Linked DNA regions of Drosophila melanogaster. The main gene of each other region encodes a partner of the protein of the gene in region 2 in a complex. Each region holds a gene or a part of one and is shown on either strand. Other genes may lie near its edges. The genes, in order: MED31, MED7, MED26 and MED18.

The links.
Region 1: MED7 (region 2) and MED31 share a complex: the UniProt entries of both Drosophila melanogaster proteins name them as parts of the mediator complex.
Region 3: MED7 (region 2) and MED26 share a complex: the UniProt entries of both Drosophila melanogaster proteins name them as parts of the mediator complex.
Region 4: MED7 (region 2) and MED18 share a complex: the UniProt entries of both Drosophila melanogaster proteins name them as parts of the mediator complex.

The regions. Positions count from the first base shown.
Region 1 is NT_033777.3:4,640,048-4,644,037, reverse strand, and holds MED31 (mediator complex subunit 31), read right to left. Parts: upstream 2,076-3,990; 5' UTR 2,043-2,075; coding exon of another isoform or gene 2,030-2,042; exon of another isoform or gene 1,755-2,029; 5' UTR 1,638-1,754; coding exon 1,610-1,637; intron 1,470-1,609; coding exon 1,380-1,469; intron 1,288-1,379; coding exon 791-1,287; 3' UTR 746-790; downstream 1-745. Other genes in the region: nuclease slx1, read right to left, coding at 1-494, 2,030-2,042; CG9775 (uncharacterized protein), read left to right, coding at 3,816-3,990. UniProt on the Drosophila melanogaster protein: Component of the Mediator complex, a coactivator involved in the regulated transcription of nearly all RNA polymerase II-dependent genes.
Region 2 is NT_033777.3:10,759,365-10,762,915, reverse strand, and holds MED7 (mediator complex subunit 7), read left to right. Parts: upstream 1-1,883; 5' UTR 1,884-1,982; coding exon 1,983-2,312; intron 2,313-2,373; coding exon 2,374-2,706; 3' UTR 2,707-2,845; downstream 2,846-3,551. Other genes in the region: Cap-H2 (chromosome associated protein H2), read right to left, coding at 467-669, 891-1,072, 1,300-1,333. UniProt on the Drosophila melanogaster protein: Component of the Mediator complex, a coactivator involved in the regulated transcription of nearly all RNA polymerase II-dependent genes.
Region 3 is NC_004353.4:785,850-790,920, forward strand, and holds the start of MED26 (mediator complex subunit 26), read right to left. Parts: upstream 3,130-5,071; 5' UTR 3,046-3,129; intron 1,766-3,045; exon of another isoform or gene 1,603-1,765; intron 1,361-1,602; 5' UTR 1,298-1,360; coding exon 1,232-1,297; intron 1,178-1,231; coding exon 343-1,177; intron 1-342. UniProt on the Drosophila melanogaster protein: Component of the Mediator complex, a coactivator involved in the regulated transcription of nearly all RNA polymerase II-dependent genes.
Region 4 is NC_004354.4:1,864,157-1,867,522, forward strand, and holds MED18 (mediator complex subunit 18), read left to right. Parts: upstream 1-1,752; 5' UTR 1,753-1,857; coding exon 1,858-1,982; intron 1,983-2,029; coding exon of another isoform or gene 2,030-2,052; coding exon 2,053-2,339; intron 2,340-2,406; coding exon 2,407-2,648; 3' UTR 2,649-2,731; downstream 2,732-3,366. Other genes in the region: Gcna (germ cell nuclear acidic peptidase), read right to left, coding at 14-1,580; Pex5 (peroxin 5), read right to left, coding at 2,852-3,366. UniProt on the Drosophila melanogaster protein: Component of the Mediator complex, a coactivator involved in the regulated transcription of nearly all RNA polymerase II-dependent genes.

The DNA.
Region 1 (3,990 bases), 6.1 Mb from region 2:
GCCACTCACAATTTCCATGTGTTTAGGCAGTGCCTTGCTGAATGGCCTCTCGTAATCCGTTTCTAGCCAGCGAACGGTGAGCGGTAATCTATTCCAAGGGCCAACCCCCAGCATATTACTAAGGATCCTAAAGTTGTAGTCAAAGAACGTCTCCCTGGGCAGTTTTCGTTTTAATTCAGGGTACATTTTAAGCCTAGTTGAAAGCGACGGCTGTTGCCAAGCCCATTCAAACTGGAGTGCCACTGTATTATTCGGGAATCCGTGCACGATCATTACCATCAGCCACGGCCCTTTGCGACTGGTTTTCCTCGCGCCACCGAAATCACAACCAAGATTGTGTTGGCGTATCCGCCGTTTGGGGTTCACGGTGAAGCCCACGTAGCATTTTCCCCGGTAGCGAGGATCCAAGCTCTGACTGCATAGCAAATAGACGCCGTAGAAGTGGCCCTTCAGCGCGACGGATTCCTCCTGTTGAGAAGCTGTGTCCTGTGGGTCTGTGAATTCACCAACAGATAGATTAATGAAACTTGCTTTGTGTCTGCAACCAAAAACCAACGACAAAGGAGGCGACACCCTAACTAAAGCAATGAGATGAGGTTTTCAAGATTTTCTAAAATAAAAAAAGAAATAAAATTATTTTAGAATTTTAGTTTGGCTAAAATAGCTAAGAAAATAAGGTGTGTTAAGTGGTAGCTGTTTCTCAGCCAAAAAGGAAGATAATAAATGGAATGCAAAATAACTTGTTCCAGGTTCTTATACTATTTTATTGGTAAACTTTTAGTTGCCAGCGCTAGTTTAACTCTAGTTTTATGTTGGCCCCCGATGCCACGCCATTGATTTGCTGCTGCTGCTGGGGATTTCCAGGCTGTGCTTGGACAGGCTGTAGGGCAGAAGACGTCTGTTGACTATCCGCCGTGGAAGCTGACCCGTTCACGTTGGGGGTAGGTGCTGCTGATTCGCCTCCCGTTGCTGCCTCCATGCCGTTCGCCTGCTGTTGTTGCTGCTGAAGCTGCTGTTGTTGCTGCTGGGCGGCCGTAACGTTTTCGATCAGTTTGATGCGCTTGCGAGTGTAGTGCTGCCACTGCAGAATGGCCTGGTCGTCTATGAACTTGCAGCACTGCGAGTTGACGATCTCCCGGCGGAAGTGTTCGTACTGCAGCAGATCGAGGAAGTAGAGGCACATTGGGTACATGAGGTATTTCGCATAGTCCGGCTCCTTCCAGTACTGCAGATACTTCAGGTAGTTGATGAACGACTGGTCCTTGAAAAATCCACGCTGTGCAAGGACTGGCACAAGGCGTTGTAATTGTTTATTTAGATATACGCGCAAGATGGTGAATAAGTGAATATTAGGTAGGTCGAGGTAATATTATTCTTACAGTTTAGATAGTTGGGGTTCGACAGGCACTGCACGAACTCCAGCTCGATCTGCCAGCGTCGCTTCTGCAGCTCCTCCGACTCGATAGCAGCTACGGAAGAAATTGGAGAGCATTAGTCCCTGAGAAATTAGCACCACTTTTGGTAGATCTCTGAGGATTCGGCATGCCAAGCGGTGTCAGTAGGTGTTAGATTACAATGCGAAAATGGGTGTGGATTGGCGTGTACTTACTCTTACCCTTTCCGTACATTTTGGCCATTTTGGACTGGTCTTTGGCTTTGGAAAGGGTCTCGTTGGGTCGGTACTTGCGTCTATTCAGTTTCGGTGTCGGGTTGGGTTCTTGGTTTCTTTCAGTGTGCTATGTGGATGTTCTGAGCTGTGTGTTTTGGTGCACCATCGAATTGAAAACGAAACGTCGCGGCAAACAAAACACACAAGTAAAATTATAAATATATATGGGCTTCGCTAATGAAATAAAATGTATGGCGCGGCAGTGACTGCACAGAGCAAACGCAGGTTGTGGGCCAAAAGAAAACTCGGGAAAACAGTCGACCAGGTTTCTGGGCGCAGGCGGTGGGTTGTCGCTCCCTTTGTGTTGGTGATTTCTTGTGGGAAGGCAGTTAAATTCAGTTTTTAATATTGTCTACAAACCGTAGGAGTTCATTTGGATTGTTGATGGCCGGCGACAACCCTACTTCTGTCCCCGCCAGGGCTGCAAGCTCATCCGAATACGATTTTTTTTTCGTAAAATACTGCTTTTCCGTATATTTTACTTGGTGTGTGCTAACGGTATTCTTGAAAATGTTTCTGTGTTAAAAATTAGAATTAGGGTTGTTTTAACCAACAAAAATCTTTAATACCAGAGTAAGTTTAAACAAATCTGAGCGTATGTATCAAGAAGTACAGCGATCAATGGTATCTACAAATAATCATAATAAAACAATTAAAATTTATATTAAAATATAAAATTCCGACCAGAACATTGACAATTTTTAATTATAATATGTAATTAACAATTGTGTGTAGCCTTCAGTATTTATTTCACTACCCCTAATGTGATGCGCATTTAATTCGGTATTTTCACAAGCCTACGACGAACGCTGTGGAGAACAATGCCTGATTTTTTTGTCAGCCTGAAAAGCAGCGAGGAAAAACTTGAATTTCGTCTGTAAAACATATCTAATCGGAACCAAGCCACTGAAAAAGTCGTAGTTTAGGCTAAATAAACGAGAAATCAACGAGTGAAACTAATTTCTATCTGTGGACAGAACGCCCCCGCACCTATTTTTGTGCTGAGGAACAAGCGAAGCAGCGACGCACAATTCAGAAATGTAAGTATTAACAAAATTATGTAATTTAAGTGCATATGAAACATTATATATGTATATCCAACTATTTCCCCGATTTCGACGGGTTAATCATCATCCACAAAAAATTCATGTTGGCGAAGAATCTATTATTAGATTACAGTGTGCTCTGCTTGAATACAACTCCGAAATGTATATACATATACAGATGCATACAGATGTACACATATGTACATATGTGCATATGTATCTATACAGCACAGCACAGCTGCCGTCCAAATAGAACCAAAGATTGTTTCTTGATAGGCTTCTGAATCATTTCAATGTAATTACGAATGTAAGTCTCTTTTGTGTCCGCTTAGGCAAGCCACAGTCGCAATTTTAATTGATCGATTGGTTTGCCACACTAATTCGTACATCTAAATTCGAGATAAATAGACCATTACCTAAAACAGTATTATAGAGTGAAAAGTGTACAGTGTGTAACTGGTATAAAAAGTGATTCCGACCCTATAATGTAAATGTTTCTTCGATCCGGACCAATGGCCTGGTCGATCTGACCACGATCTACAACGCCCAAATTGGCATATAACACTGTAGTTCCATACAATTGTCATAATAGTTAAAATAGGATTATTAGAAACGTATCAAATAAATGTCTTCGCTGAGTGCTGGGTATCTCATAGTCGCGACTCTTGACTAAAGTGATCTTTACTCCTAAACATCTTCCTATATACATGTGAAATGAATCAATGTTCTTAAGTGGGAAAATTCATAGGTAATATTAAAATGTTTAGTGTTGTAACTATGACCACGGCTTTATTTACGGGGGTGCATAAGGGGTAAAGCCAACGGTTGGCTTTTCCACATAGGAACAGCTGCAGATTTATTGGTATATTTTAAAGAACTGTCTGAGCTTAGCGTTTATGGGTGTCAGCTGGCACTACCTGTCCGGGGGTCGTCCTGGCGTACCTGACTGCCTACAAAACTCATTACATTTTTGCTTTCCATTACAGTTGCAAACCGGTTTTCGGCGCAGAAACACCCACTCGATCGTCCAAGAGTCAAGCGGAGAACAGTGAAAACATACATTATAAGGATCAATTTATAAAAGCAAAGCCGCAACAATCATGAACACTGGAATCTCCTTAAACGAGCGCTTTACGCAGATGCAGTCAAAGCAGCCGCCACAGGGACGCGGTCGCAGCCGCTCCAGGAGCAGGAGTCGCCGCATTGTGAGCAGCGGAGCCGGAAATCAAGGAATGTCCGCGGTCAACTCTAGGCTGCTGAATGAATTCAAGAGGC
Region 2 (3,551 bases):
TCATCTTATGTTTAATCAAAATACTGGTGCTATCTTTAAAATTAATTAGACTTTCAACATTTAGGTCAAATAATCTCCCCAAATTCTTTAATGCCGGCTGATAAGAAAGAATTTAAGTGAATTATAATGTAAAAATATTTATTTAGGATGTGATCTATCTCTGAATAACTTGTTATTTTTATGAATGAACTGTCTACGTTTTTAGCTTCACTTGTCTGGTTAATTTCTCATTTCTTTATATACTCTGTTTGTTATTTGTTTTTGGAAGCACGAGAACGTGCCCTATCGTCCATTAACGGCAAGCCGGCTTCTGTGATATTAATGCAAACAAAGCCGAAGGGGGCGTAAAGTGAAGCTCGATAAGCGGAATTCTGGACCGAAAAGAGCCAGCAATGGCGACAAGTGGGGAGCACGTGGCCTTGTCTTTCTCCATCTTCTTAACTCTTCAGTTCTGAGTTAAACTTACGCAGCACTTCCGCTAGGGGTCTCCTTCTGCAACTCCGATGTGAGCAGGGCTTCGATCTGGTGCTCCACCACCTGGCACAGGTACTCCACTCGGTCTCCATAGATCTTGCCGCAGTACTGGAGGGCACTTCCTGCGGCCACGATGGCCGATCTTCGAGAGACATCATTTCGTCCTAAGCAGTGGCGCAGTAGCTCTTCAATATACTGAAAATATAAGCAATGTATTTGAGGATCTGCAGGCTTTTGTGTTCACTGTAAATAAAATAATAGATTTTCTTGAAAACCCATTTATATAATTTTAGTTAAAATACCAGTTATCGAGGCATGACTGTAAAACCCACGCACGTTGCGTCACACTTTTATTTTGATCTTTCTGCTCTTCGGCGGTTTTGCTTATCTTGATAATAGTGGTCTTCAACACTCACATATCCCAGTGATATCCGTAGGTCCGTGGAGTAGTCCGTGTTTTTGGAGAGCTCTTCGAGGAGGACGACTAGCGAGGCCAGGTCCTGTTGCTCATCGTAGGCGCGGATGCACTTGGCCACTTGGGTTCCCGGCCGATTCTTGGCTATTTCCAATATCTGCTCCCGCGCTTCGCTCAAGTAGGCTGTGAATTAAATAGAAACCGATTGGATTTACTTAAGCAAAAACCACACACCCAATCGCAGATCCGCTTTATTGTTTATTTCGGCCCTCCCCATACACACACACACACACTCGCATAGAAGCACCAACACACGCGGTATACTGGAAATAGCGCTGACTTAATCAATGGGAAACGAAGATCACGCCTGGGGCTGTCCTGCGTTGGTTACCTAAGTTCTGGATGCTTACCCGCTTCCGCTTCTTCAGGCAAAATCCGCTCCATGGCTCACTAGATGACACTAGGAAAAGTTTGTTTTATGTCCGGTTTTGCACATTTTACTGGCATCGTGCACAAGCACTGCAAGCACGCACACACGCTGAGTGGGGAAATCAAAATGGTGGAGGCAGCACGGCTTGTCTCTTAGTTGGGTCCAGTTATGTTATGGTTTTACGTTTTGTTTTCATTTCTTTGGCAGGAACAGGAATATTGGCGCGAATCGGTGCTGGAACAATTAGCTATTCACATCAAGATATATATGTGTTTCTTATTTTGTTGTGCTCTACCGACGAATGAGGGAAGAGACGGAGAAAAATTGCTATGGCAATGCTGTAGGGGGTGCATGCAAGCATGGTCACCTTTAAGTTATCGATAGCTAGGCACGGTGAATCATTTATTATTTCGAGCTCGATTAATATCTAATTTAATTTTTGTAATTGTAAATTATTTGTCAGTGTCTCAAAACATATTATAATAAATTCTGCTTATTATTGCATTGTCTAGCTTCAAACCTCTAGTGTGCTCATTTTTAAGAAAACAATTTGAGTGATAGTGTCATCACTATCGTGAGTGATTCGCCTGTCTCAGGTGCCATCACTTCTTCAAAACAAAAATCATTTATTATTTTTGTATTTCCGCACTTGTTAATCTCATAATGTCCAACCAGGAGACCCAGGTTTCCAGCCTGCCGATGCCGCCGGAGCGGTACATCGCCAATTACACGGACGAGAATATCCGCCGCAACCGAGCGCCACGCCCACCGCCGCCGCCGGCGCAGCACGAAGTCTATAGCATGTTTGGCATCCAGTACAACAACGACGAGATGATCCGCAGCTTGGAGTCCCAGAATATTAAGCGACTGATCCCCATCCATTTCGATCGGCGCAAGGAGCTCAAGAAGCTTAACCACTCCCTCTTGGTCAACTTCCTAGATCTCATTGACTTTCTTATCCTGAATCCTGACAGCCCGCGGCGCACGGAAAAGGTGAGTCAATTGACCCATTAAAATGTAGCATCTATTGTATTACACTCATTTGATATCTTAGATTGACGATATCAGTCTGCTGTTCGTCAACATGCATCACCTCCTCAATGAATTTCGCCCACATCAGGCGAGGGAAACGCTGCGCGTCATGATGGAAATGCAGAAGCGGCAGCGCGTTGAGACCGCCGCCCGTTTCCAAAAGCACTTGGAACGTGTGCGCGAGATCGTTAATACCGCCTTCTCAGCTCTGCCGGTTCTAGATGATGACGACGATAGCGGCGGAGCAAAGATTAAGACGGAGGTGGATCCGTTGGAGGCGAATGCGGCGGCCAAGAATGATCCCAGTTACCAGCACGATCGCATGTTGTGCAAGCTTGTGGACGCTATCGAGTAAGCTGAGTTGGCAAAAGACTGGACATCGACGCTGGAAATAGTGTCAATCATTGTGAATGGCTTGGAAAAAAGAGCTCCTCATATTTATAACTCCTTTTAGTATAAGAAATAAAACCCCAATTGTGGGATGAGAATCTTGCACGTCTAATGAGTAATTCATTCAATGGGAATTAATGTGTTAAGTCATCTTTGAGATAAGCTTTACACAGATAAGATCCGAGATAAAGGCTCATGATTAAGCATCCCACAAATTTCACCATTAAAATGACGTAGTCAGCGTGGAGTAATAATATAGTCAAATGTCATAAATTAATAATCTATCTAGAACAATTTATTCAGGATAGGAATAACAATATAAATGTATATATTTAATTGTAAAAATTGTAAAGACATGTGACATGACATGAGACATGAACACCTCACACGTTTTCCTACTTTTAATGGGTGCTACCGCATGGCATCATCGTGGCTAGCCGAAATATGCTCGTACAGTGCGTTTCATAATGTACATATACATATGTGGTTTTAATGAATTTGTATGGAGTTTCATCAAAATTACTAATTTTGTTTGATAAACATGATTAAAAAGTCAATAGAGATATTCATTCACAACTGGAGTATAATGTTTTCCCTAAAATTTTTTTAACTCACTGTGCCCTTTACAAAATCCAACGTGTTTTTCTAAATAAACATGGTTTAATACGTTTATTAGCTTTCTTAGATTGTAAAGCCCGCGATAAGAGAGATGTAGTTAAGTGAATCTTCACTTTTATTGAAGTAATCTCCGATAAAAGGAGGTGCCATGCGCTCTAGATGATCATTTCTCGTGCAGCATTGCAAGTGTGC
Region 3 (5,071 bases), on a different chromosome or scaffold from region 2:
TAATATTTAGTTTTAAGAGATGGTCAAACGCTCTATTCTCTGAATAGACCGAGATTAACTTGAATGTCTTATATTTTCTAAAGTATACGTTTTTTCAAAATTCAAAAGTGTTGGCAAACGATGTTATTGCAATTTAAAATATAAAATTTTTGAAAAAGTACACTTTTTGATTATCGAACTTTTTTGAAAATTCAGATCTCAAAGACTGGACGTGGACAAAAAAAAACTAATTGGTGGGCACACGATTCCAGCTTTCAAATTTCGAAAATTCCATTTTTCCGAACCCAGCTTCTTTGAGCTTCTGCAAGGATAGACACAAAGACAAATACAATTGAATCATACCCGAATCTGTTGTCAGAGCGGCCTGTTGAAACCCGTCGCTGGCTTTTGCACCAAATCTTGTATTTGTTGCGACCTGTCCTTCTCTTTCCTTACTTCTTTTTTCCTTTTTTAATTTGCGTTGCCGTGAGCTTGGTGTAGATGGTATTGGAAGTGGCGCAGGAACAATTGAGTTTAATTTTTTTGGATTTAACGAACCGTTATTGTCATTCTCATCGGAATCCGAAGCTATGTCAATAACAACTGAAGCTTCGTTTATCTTCACGGTGCTGTCATCGGTCAAGTTAATCACGGAATTTACCGAATGATCTATGACGATGGGCTGAGGAGAGGCCACGTGGCAACTTCGGATGGAATGCGAATGTCGCCGATCCTTGTGAGTATGCAATGTCGTTATAGCGATGTTTTCGTGGCGATCGCTATCTTTTATACTATTTACAAGGTTGGAGAAGTTCGGATGAAGTAGGGTATGTTCACCCGAAAGCGGAGGCTCCGCAGAGTCGATATTTGAATGCAAATCTGAAACTATTTGCTGCGAAGGAGCAATTGGTTCTGTAATAAAGCTGGTGATAGGGGACTTAACCAAATCTAATGCTGGTTGTGAAGATGAAATTTGACTGGGATGTGCCAAATTTTCAGTGGCTGTTTGCTGAATTCCTACCATTTCCCGCCACTTTTTCAGCAAGGATTTTGCACGTCGAGCCAAATGTTCATTCTTAGTCCTTCTTCTGAGCTGATTTATGTACTTAGCCAATCTGGTGGCCTCCAACTGCTCCTTGGTGATAGTTGTACCCTCCAATGCACATATGACACAGAGAACTGCGTCCATATTGACGACCTGAAAAGATCTTTACATTAACTGATTTGTTGATAAGGTAATACGTTTTCTTACATCGTAGTTTTGATCAAGTGCCTGGGATAGGTGAGTAGTAAGTTCCTGTATTTCGATTTGGTTCATTTATATCTTGCGGTGCGTAAATATTGCCCTGATCCAGATTCAAGGGACGGCGAAATGCAAATACTGTCCAAGTTAGAAAAATAAGGAAAGTAATAGAAAAGTAAGTAGTAGGTAGAAAGTAAAAAGTTATAGTGTATTCACTTCACGTTGTTGCAAAATAAATACTATTATAAATAGCCGTAAAATTGCTATTAAGTAAAGTTTAAAGACCCAGAAGTTCAAAAATTTTAATACCCGAGTTAGTAGCGTGTCTGTGAAACACTCATACCAATACAAAACGTGTATTGCTCAATCGTTATGCTTACAAATATGCACACTTCGAATGTAAAGTCTGTGCTTCCTGAGCGCACTTCCTTGAATATGAAAATTTGTATTTGTCCAAAATAAGGAAAATTAATAATTTATGGTTGACTTCCCGACTTTATTACAATTCGCCATTTTTACCAATGACAGCTGCACTTCAAGGGTGGCAGAAAATCGATAAGTATTTAACAATTATTATCGATATACTTTCACGTGAATTTCTTTTAACAGGAAGGCCTGATCATACTGCTATCAAACAGAATTGAAGAGGAATTGTATTATATGTGACATGAAAACCTATAGGAGTATTATATAAAGTAAACGTCCATTTTTGGGCTAAATGCGTGAATCTCAAAATGAAAAAAGGGTCAAATATACCAGACCAGAAAATGAAGGTTTTGTTGCTTTGTGGTTTGGATATTTTCCCGTTGTCCTATATATTTTGTAAAATATAAAACGATTTCGTAGATTCTCCGTCCAGTTACCCGCTTTACTTAATATGGAGAATATTAAAATATTGTTTGTTTTTTTACCCTTAACTTATTTTATTCGGACTAGCAATGCCGTTTTTTTTTTGTTAAGGATATATAAAGATTCTTAAACTCTTTCATTTCAATGCGAAATATTTGAAAAAAGTGTGTATATATAGGATTTGTACAAAACAAATGCTCTCGGTGTTCTTCAAAAACAAAAAACAAACAAATGGCTTACAATTACCAAACCCCATAACTTGGGTTAAGGGATCATCTCACAATTGAAAAAAAGTAAACTATAGTACTATCCTTCAGCACCAAAATCGAGTATATATTTTTTTCTTATTGCAAAACCTTTGGAAGCCTTTTGTATATAAGAATATATTTTACATTTAATAAGCAACAGAAAAAGAATATGTTTAATTTTTTATATTCACATTTTACCACAGCGGCTTTTTTTTTAATATGTTCTATAATATTATTCTTATTCTGAACCTCGAGCAGAAGAGATTTTATTGACCTTCCCGTCTAAGAACTGAGCTACCCCATGCTTATACTGTGTTTCCGTGTTTGACAAAAACCAAAACTGACTGTGTCCATATATATAGTGTAATTGGAATATAAACGGTTAGTAGTACTAAATTAGGAAGAATGCTTGTCCGATCCGTTCACACTGGTAACGTTAGAATACCGGAGAAAAACTATTATTACTTAAAATGCTAATTAAGTTTAAAAAACATTTTTGTATTTCAGTACAATAATAAAAAATTTAATCATCTCCGCTAGTGAGCAAAATTCAAATATAACGACAGTGACTCTTCTGCATATAAACTTGAGATTTGCAAAAATATAGATGCATCAACTTCATAAATTCACACTTGGCTGGTTTGTCGCTCTTACCGAAATATCCTGATATATTCCTTTTGCACATACATAAATATACTTATATTATATGTCGTTTTTAATACATACCCCCACATTAATCACACTGCACATGGTCTATTCAAAGCCATATAAATAACAAGATGCGTAACGGCCATACCAAAGACACTAGAATAACAAGATGCGTAACGGCCATACATTGGTTTGGCACTATGCAGCCACTTTTTTGGTGACGGCCAAAATTGCTCTCTTTCCGCTCGCTCACGCTGAGAACATAAGAAATCTAAAAATAGAATTTGCTTGCTTGTGTGAGTAAAAACAAGAGACGGGAACGCGTATATGTGTGGGTGTTGTGCTAGAAGACGATTTTCGGGCCGAAATCAATTCTGATCAAAGAAATGAATTTACATTGTACATATTAGGGTAGTTTTTTGCCAATTTCGTAGCAATATGATGAAATAAAATAATTTTTAAAAATTCGCGCCCTTCTTATTATAATTTTAAAATTTTAATTTTAATTTTAAAATTTTTTAATTTTAAAGCTTTTTAAATTCGTTTGTTAAAATCGCCGCTCGAATTAGCTACCGTTTACATATTTATATTTATGTTGATAATTATTTATGTGTAATATGTGTAATAGTCGGTACCCAGGGAACACTACGGGGAGGCCATTACAATTGTAATGGGGTCTTATATTTACGTATATGACCTTCGAGTCGACTTGAAATATTTTAATGTTTAACATTAAAACATTTCCATATTCCCCAATTAAGTTATTTTTCTAACTATTGTTTTTTATTATATATTGCTCGATTTTTCAGTCGTCAGTTATTTAAATAACGCTCATTTTTTTTATTCATGAGATAGAATGCTGAGCTTAGCTTGCTTTTTTTGTCTATCAGCTATCACAGTCCACTTACAATGCTTAAAAAGCAAAACTTTTATAAGTTTGTTTAAAAGATCTGTTCTATGTGCATAACATTCATTATTTTCATAAAACCATAATGGGAAGGCACTACTTTCATTTGTGCACTTAATGCATTGCTCAACAATAAATTTTTTTATACACATTTGTTTTTTATTATTTTTAAAAATATTTTCGAAAGCTTTAATGTGTATTTTGTAAATATTAAAAAATAAATCAGATGGTGCCCTTAATTTCCCGAAGTCCGATTCTATTGAGTAGTTTTTCTCATGTATAAAAAGCTCTGATGGAGCTGTTAAATGCTCGGTTTCTTTTAAAATTACCGATCTGCATTTATCGCAACTGGATCCCTTAGCAATATATCCAACAAAATATCTACTGGAAGTTAATTCAATGGGTACATCATTGCACAAAAAGTTATCTATATTTTGGTCAAAGTACCTCTCATTGTCTTGCACGATTTTGGAAAATGATACAGAGTATTCTTGTTGCTGTATTTCTTTTTTTTCAACGAAAGGCTGATATATTATCGAATCGAACTCTATTGGCAACATAACATCATCATCTGATTCGCAATTCGACTTTTGTGAAAATTTAAAAATGTGTAGAGATATGAGCTTGGCAATTATTATATTAAATTCGTTAACTGAAGGATTTCTGCAGTTACCACCTTTTGCTCGAACGCACGCAAATATATTTTCAAGGGGATCCTGGTTAACTCTACTAGTTAAAAAGAAAAAGTGGTCTGTGTGATCCTTAAAGAGATCTTCGACGAGTCCAAATATAGCTTCAGTAGTTTGGATCAAGCCATCAACACAATATATTTTATTCCCGTGATATTTAACGCTCTTTAGGTATTCCTGCATTTCCTTTAGTTTGTTCCAAACTCCATTGTTAACTTGGAGCGCGCATTTCATGGGGTTTTTGTCAGTTAATACTCTGCTATTCAGGCAATCAAAGTAATCATTATCTTTTTGGACAAATGCAGCCGTAGAAGCTGCAACTTCGGAACTATTTCGATGTAATTGCTTGTTTTGGTTACAAGTCTTAATTGCCGCTGCAACAGTGTGGCTAAGTGTTTGAGTTGCCAAACATACGCGCATTAGCTCAAATCTGGTTGGATTAACGTGACTCCTTGTTAATTTAGTCATTCTCGTTACTGATCCATGATCTAATTCGTAAACCTCTCGA
Region 4 (3,366 bases), on a different chromosome or scaffold from region 2:
GATAAATTCTTACATATGCTGAAGTCCCCGAGAACACTTTCATCTGGCTTGGGCTTCTTTTTTTTAGCGGTGGTTACCGCTGTTGCTTGAATATTCCTGGGCCTCAGAGGAGCCTGTTTACCGCCACTACCACTGGAGCGCTTTAGAGTGCGGATCACATCTGGTGTCTGCCAAGACTTGCCGTACAATTGATTGAGCAGCTTTTCTGCGTGGGTGAGAAACTGCTCATCCTCGGATGCATCATCCACAGACAGCATGGATTTTTGGTGGCTCTGAGGGTCCTGCTGCTGGTGCTCTTGGTGCTGCACCTCCTCCGAGCTGGGCAGGGACTTAGTGGCCCTGGGCGAAGAGTAATGCTCATCGTCGTCTTCCGCCGAACTTGACTCCATAGTGGGAATGCTGATTTTAATGTTGATCTTCGCTGAAATATTAATACTGCTGACCTGGATAGAACCGTGTTCGTCCCCTCCCGATGTGGAGGAACCAGAGCTGGCCTTTTGCGGCGTGAGCTCGCCCTCGCTGCTGGTTTCCGGTATTTCAATGGATTCATCAGGAACGGGCTCATTGTTGTGAATCGTCGAGTTATGGGTCTCAGAACTATCAGAACACAGGGTGTTGGGCTCGGTGTCATTGTCTGCTAAACGCTTGCTGCTGTATGTGGGCTCAAGCTCCTCCGATCCGAGAGTATTCGCCTCCGTTTCGTCGTCTGCCAACCGCTTGCTGCTATCCAATCGAGTGGCATCTGCTGAGCAGATGGTATTCACCTGCGTATCGTTGTTCGCCAGTTGTGTGCTGTTGTAAATCGGCCTGGTAGTGGGTGGCTGCCAGTCCTCGTCGGTGGGCGACATGGATTCGGTGTCCGCATCGGCTAGACGGGATTGCCGCTGGCTGGAAGAGAGGGGGGGCGGTGTCAATGGGCCATTCCACTCCATCTCGCGTCGCTCTATGGACACATCGCGCAGAAAAGCCTCGATGCGCTGCACTTTTTCGGTTGTGAGCATGGGCTGTGGTATGTCTTCCTGGCCGGGATTAGCCACAATTTCCCGTTCACTCACAGCCATGCTATCGGGAGGCAAGGGTTCTTGCTCATCCTCGCTAGAATCGGATATGGTGATACAGGAGGCGGCGTCGTCGTCGCCGGATACGTTCTCTTCCGTAGTGGAGGAAATGCAAATGGAGATCTCCGGCTTGGCCGAGTGCTCCTCATTTATGGGCTGCACTTTCAAATTGCTGATGCCAGCGGACAGGAGCTCTACATCGCCCACATTTGCCACATCCTGGCTGCAGCCGTCGGCGCTCAGCTGCAAGGCTTCCATGTAGTCGGAATTGTCGAGTTCTGTGTCCTCCGTATTTGCCCCGCAGGACGGAGCGGGTGCTCCCACATTGGCGCGCATGGGAGCTGCTGGCAGTTTCCTTGTTTTCTGGTCGTTCCTCTTTTCTGGATGATCCTTCGGCGCATGGGACACCTGGAGTCGTTTTTTGTGGGAGGATAGCGTCAAATTGGCGAACTTTTGATTGAAGGGAACTTTTACTTTGCTCGGGTCGACCGCATTGAAGAGCCTATACTTATGATCCGCCATTTTGGGGGCGTCGTTGGGGCATTTACGGTAAATCAATCTCTATGAATATGCTTTAAGCAAAATTCGTATTTGCTATTATTCTGTGCGCGTCGATTTACGTTCATCGTTATCGATAGACTATTTGATTTTCCGGCATCTAGCTAGTGCTGTTCGAAAATGTCTAAAACGGCATCACTAGTAAAACGAATTCTTCCAAGGAAATGAAACTAAAAACAAAACCAAACTACTGCTCAGTTAATTTAATACCATAGTACACCCAAACTTACAAAATTAGCCAATGGCGATTGTGTCGTCGGCCCGTGAGTCGCTCTCCCATGCGATGAACAACCGCTTCTTGCCCAACCTGGAGTACTTGCTGCAGGGATCTATCCTGGATTCCGCCGTGGAACACTTGATGCACAGGTGGGAGACCCAGTGTCAGATTTGAATCGTTTGCACCCGACTAACAGTCTAACCGCCTACCCACTATCAGACTAAAGGGACTCTGCGACAATGTGGACACCTCGCCGGAGCCGTTTCACGATCTGGAAGTGTGTATGAGCCTTCGCCAGCCCAATGCCAACCAGCCGCTGCTTCTTCGCGTGCGCCGAGCCCTTGGTCGCGATGCACCCTTTCAGATGCGCTACCTAGGAAACCCCGAGGTGGATCTGCGCCGGCCTACATTGGTACGCAGCTGCATGGACTGCGCCTGCACCAATGGCATTTTGGAATTCCTCACGGAAATGGGCTTCCGCCTGGAGTTCGAGTACATAGCAAAGGGTTGGAATCATGAAATATATTACGCTTGGGTTGCCAAAATGGATAGTGACAAATGGACTTATTTCAGGCTATATGTTCCGCAAGGGGCGCATGAAGATTACCGTCTCCAAGCTCATTAAGATTGTGCCCGGCAAGCAGCAGGACATGGCCAACGAGCCAATCTCACAAAGCTACATAGTGGAACTCTCTGTGGTGGCGCCAACGGGGCAGGAGAATGTCGGCGAGGAAATGCGCGTGTTTGCCGAGCAACTAAAGCCACTCGTGCAGCTCGAGAAGATCGACTACAAGCGACTGGGCGGCATGCCGTAGTTTACAATAAAAGTGCACATCGCATTTATCCAACAGTTATTTAATTTCTTAAATGTAAGAAAATATACAAATTTACAGAAAAGAACCGAGAGGGAATGATTACACTGCCAGAGTAAAAAATATCTCAAATTCAACCTTACACACCCACATGACACGACAACAACGGACTTTCCCAAAGCAGTGATAAAGAAGCTGCGGGGCGGTTAATCCTTAAAGGCCTCATTAAGAGCCGCCAGATTGCGATCGCTCACATAACTCTGGAGATCGCTGCGGCCCATCAGCGAAATGACCATCTTCAGCGTACTCCAAATAGACTCGGACATCTGGTTCTGTCCTCTAAAGGTAGCCGCCATCGCCGCATTGGGCAGCTCTCGGGCGGCGTTAGTGTGAGCCTGCATGGTAAGCGCTGTGAGTAAGTGCTCCACAGCTTCCTTGTAGGCCTTAAGGTTCATGCAACATACGCCCACGTTGTAACGCACACGGATGAAGCCCGGTTGGAGCTGCAGCGCCTGCTGATAAGCCTCCACCGCCTCCACGGAGCGCGAGCCGTTGGCCAAACTGGCCCCCAATCGGTTCCATGTCTTCGCATTTTGGGGATCCACCTGCAGAGCGGACTGGTAGCAGTCCACCGCCTTGTCGAACTCCCCAGATAGATTGTAGAGCACGCCGAGGGCATCCTGGACTTCGGCATCCACCTCCGAAGGGTGCTGTCGAACGG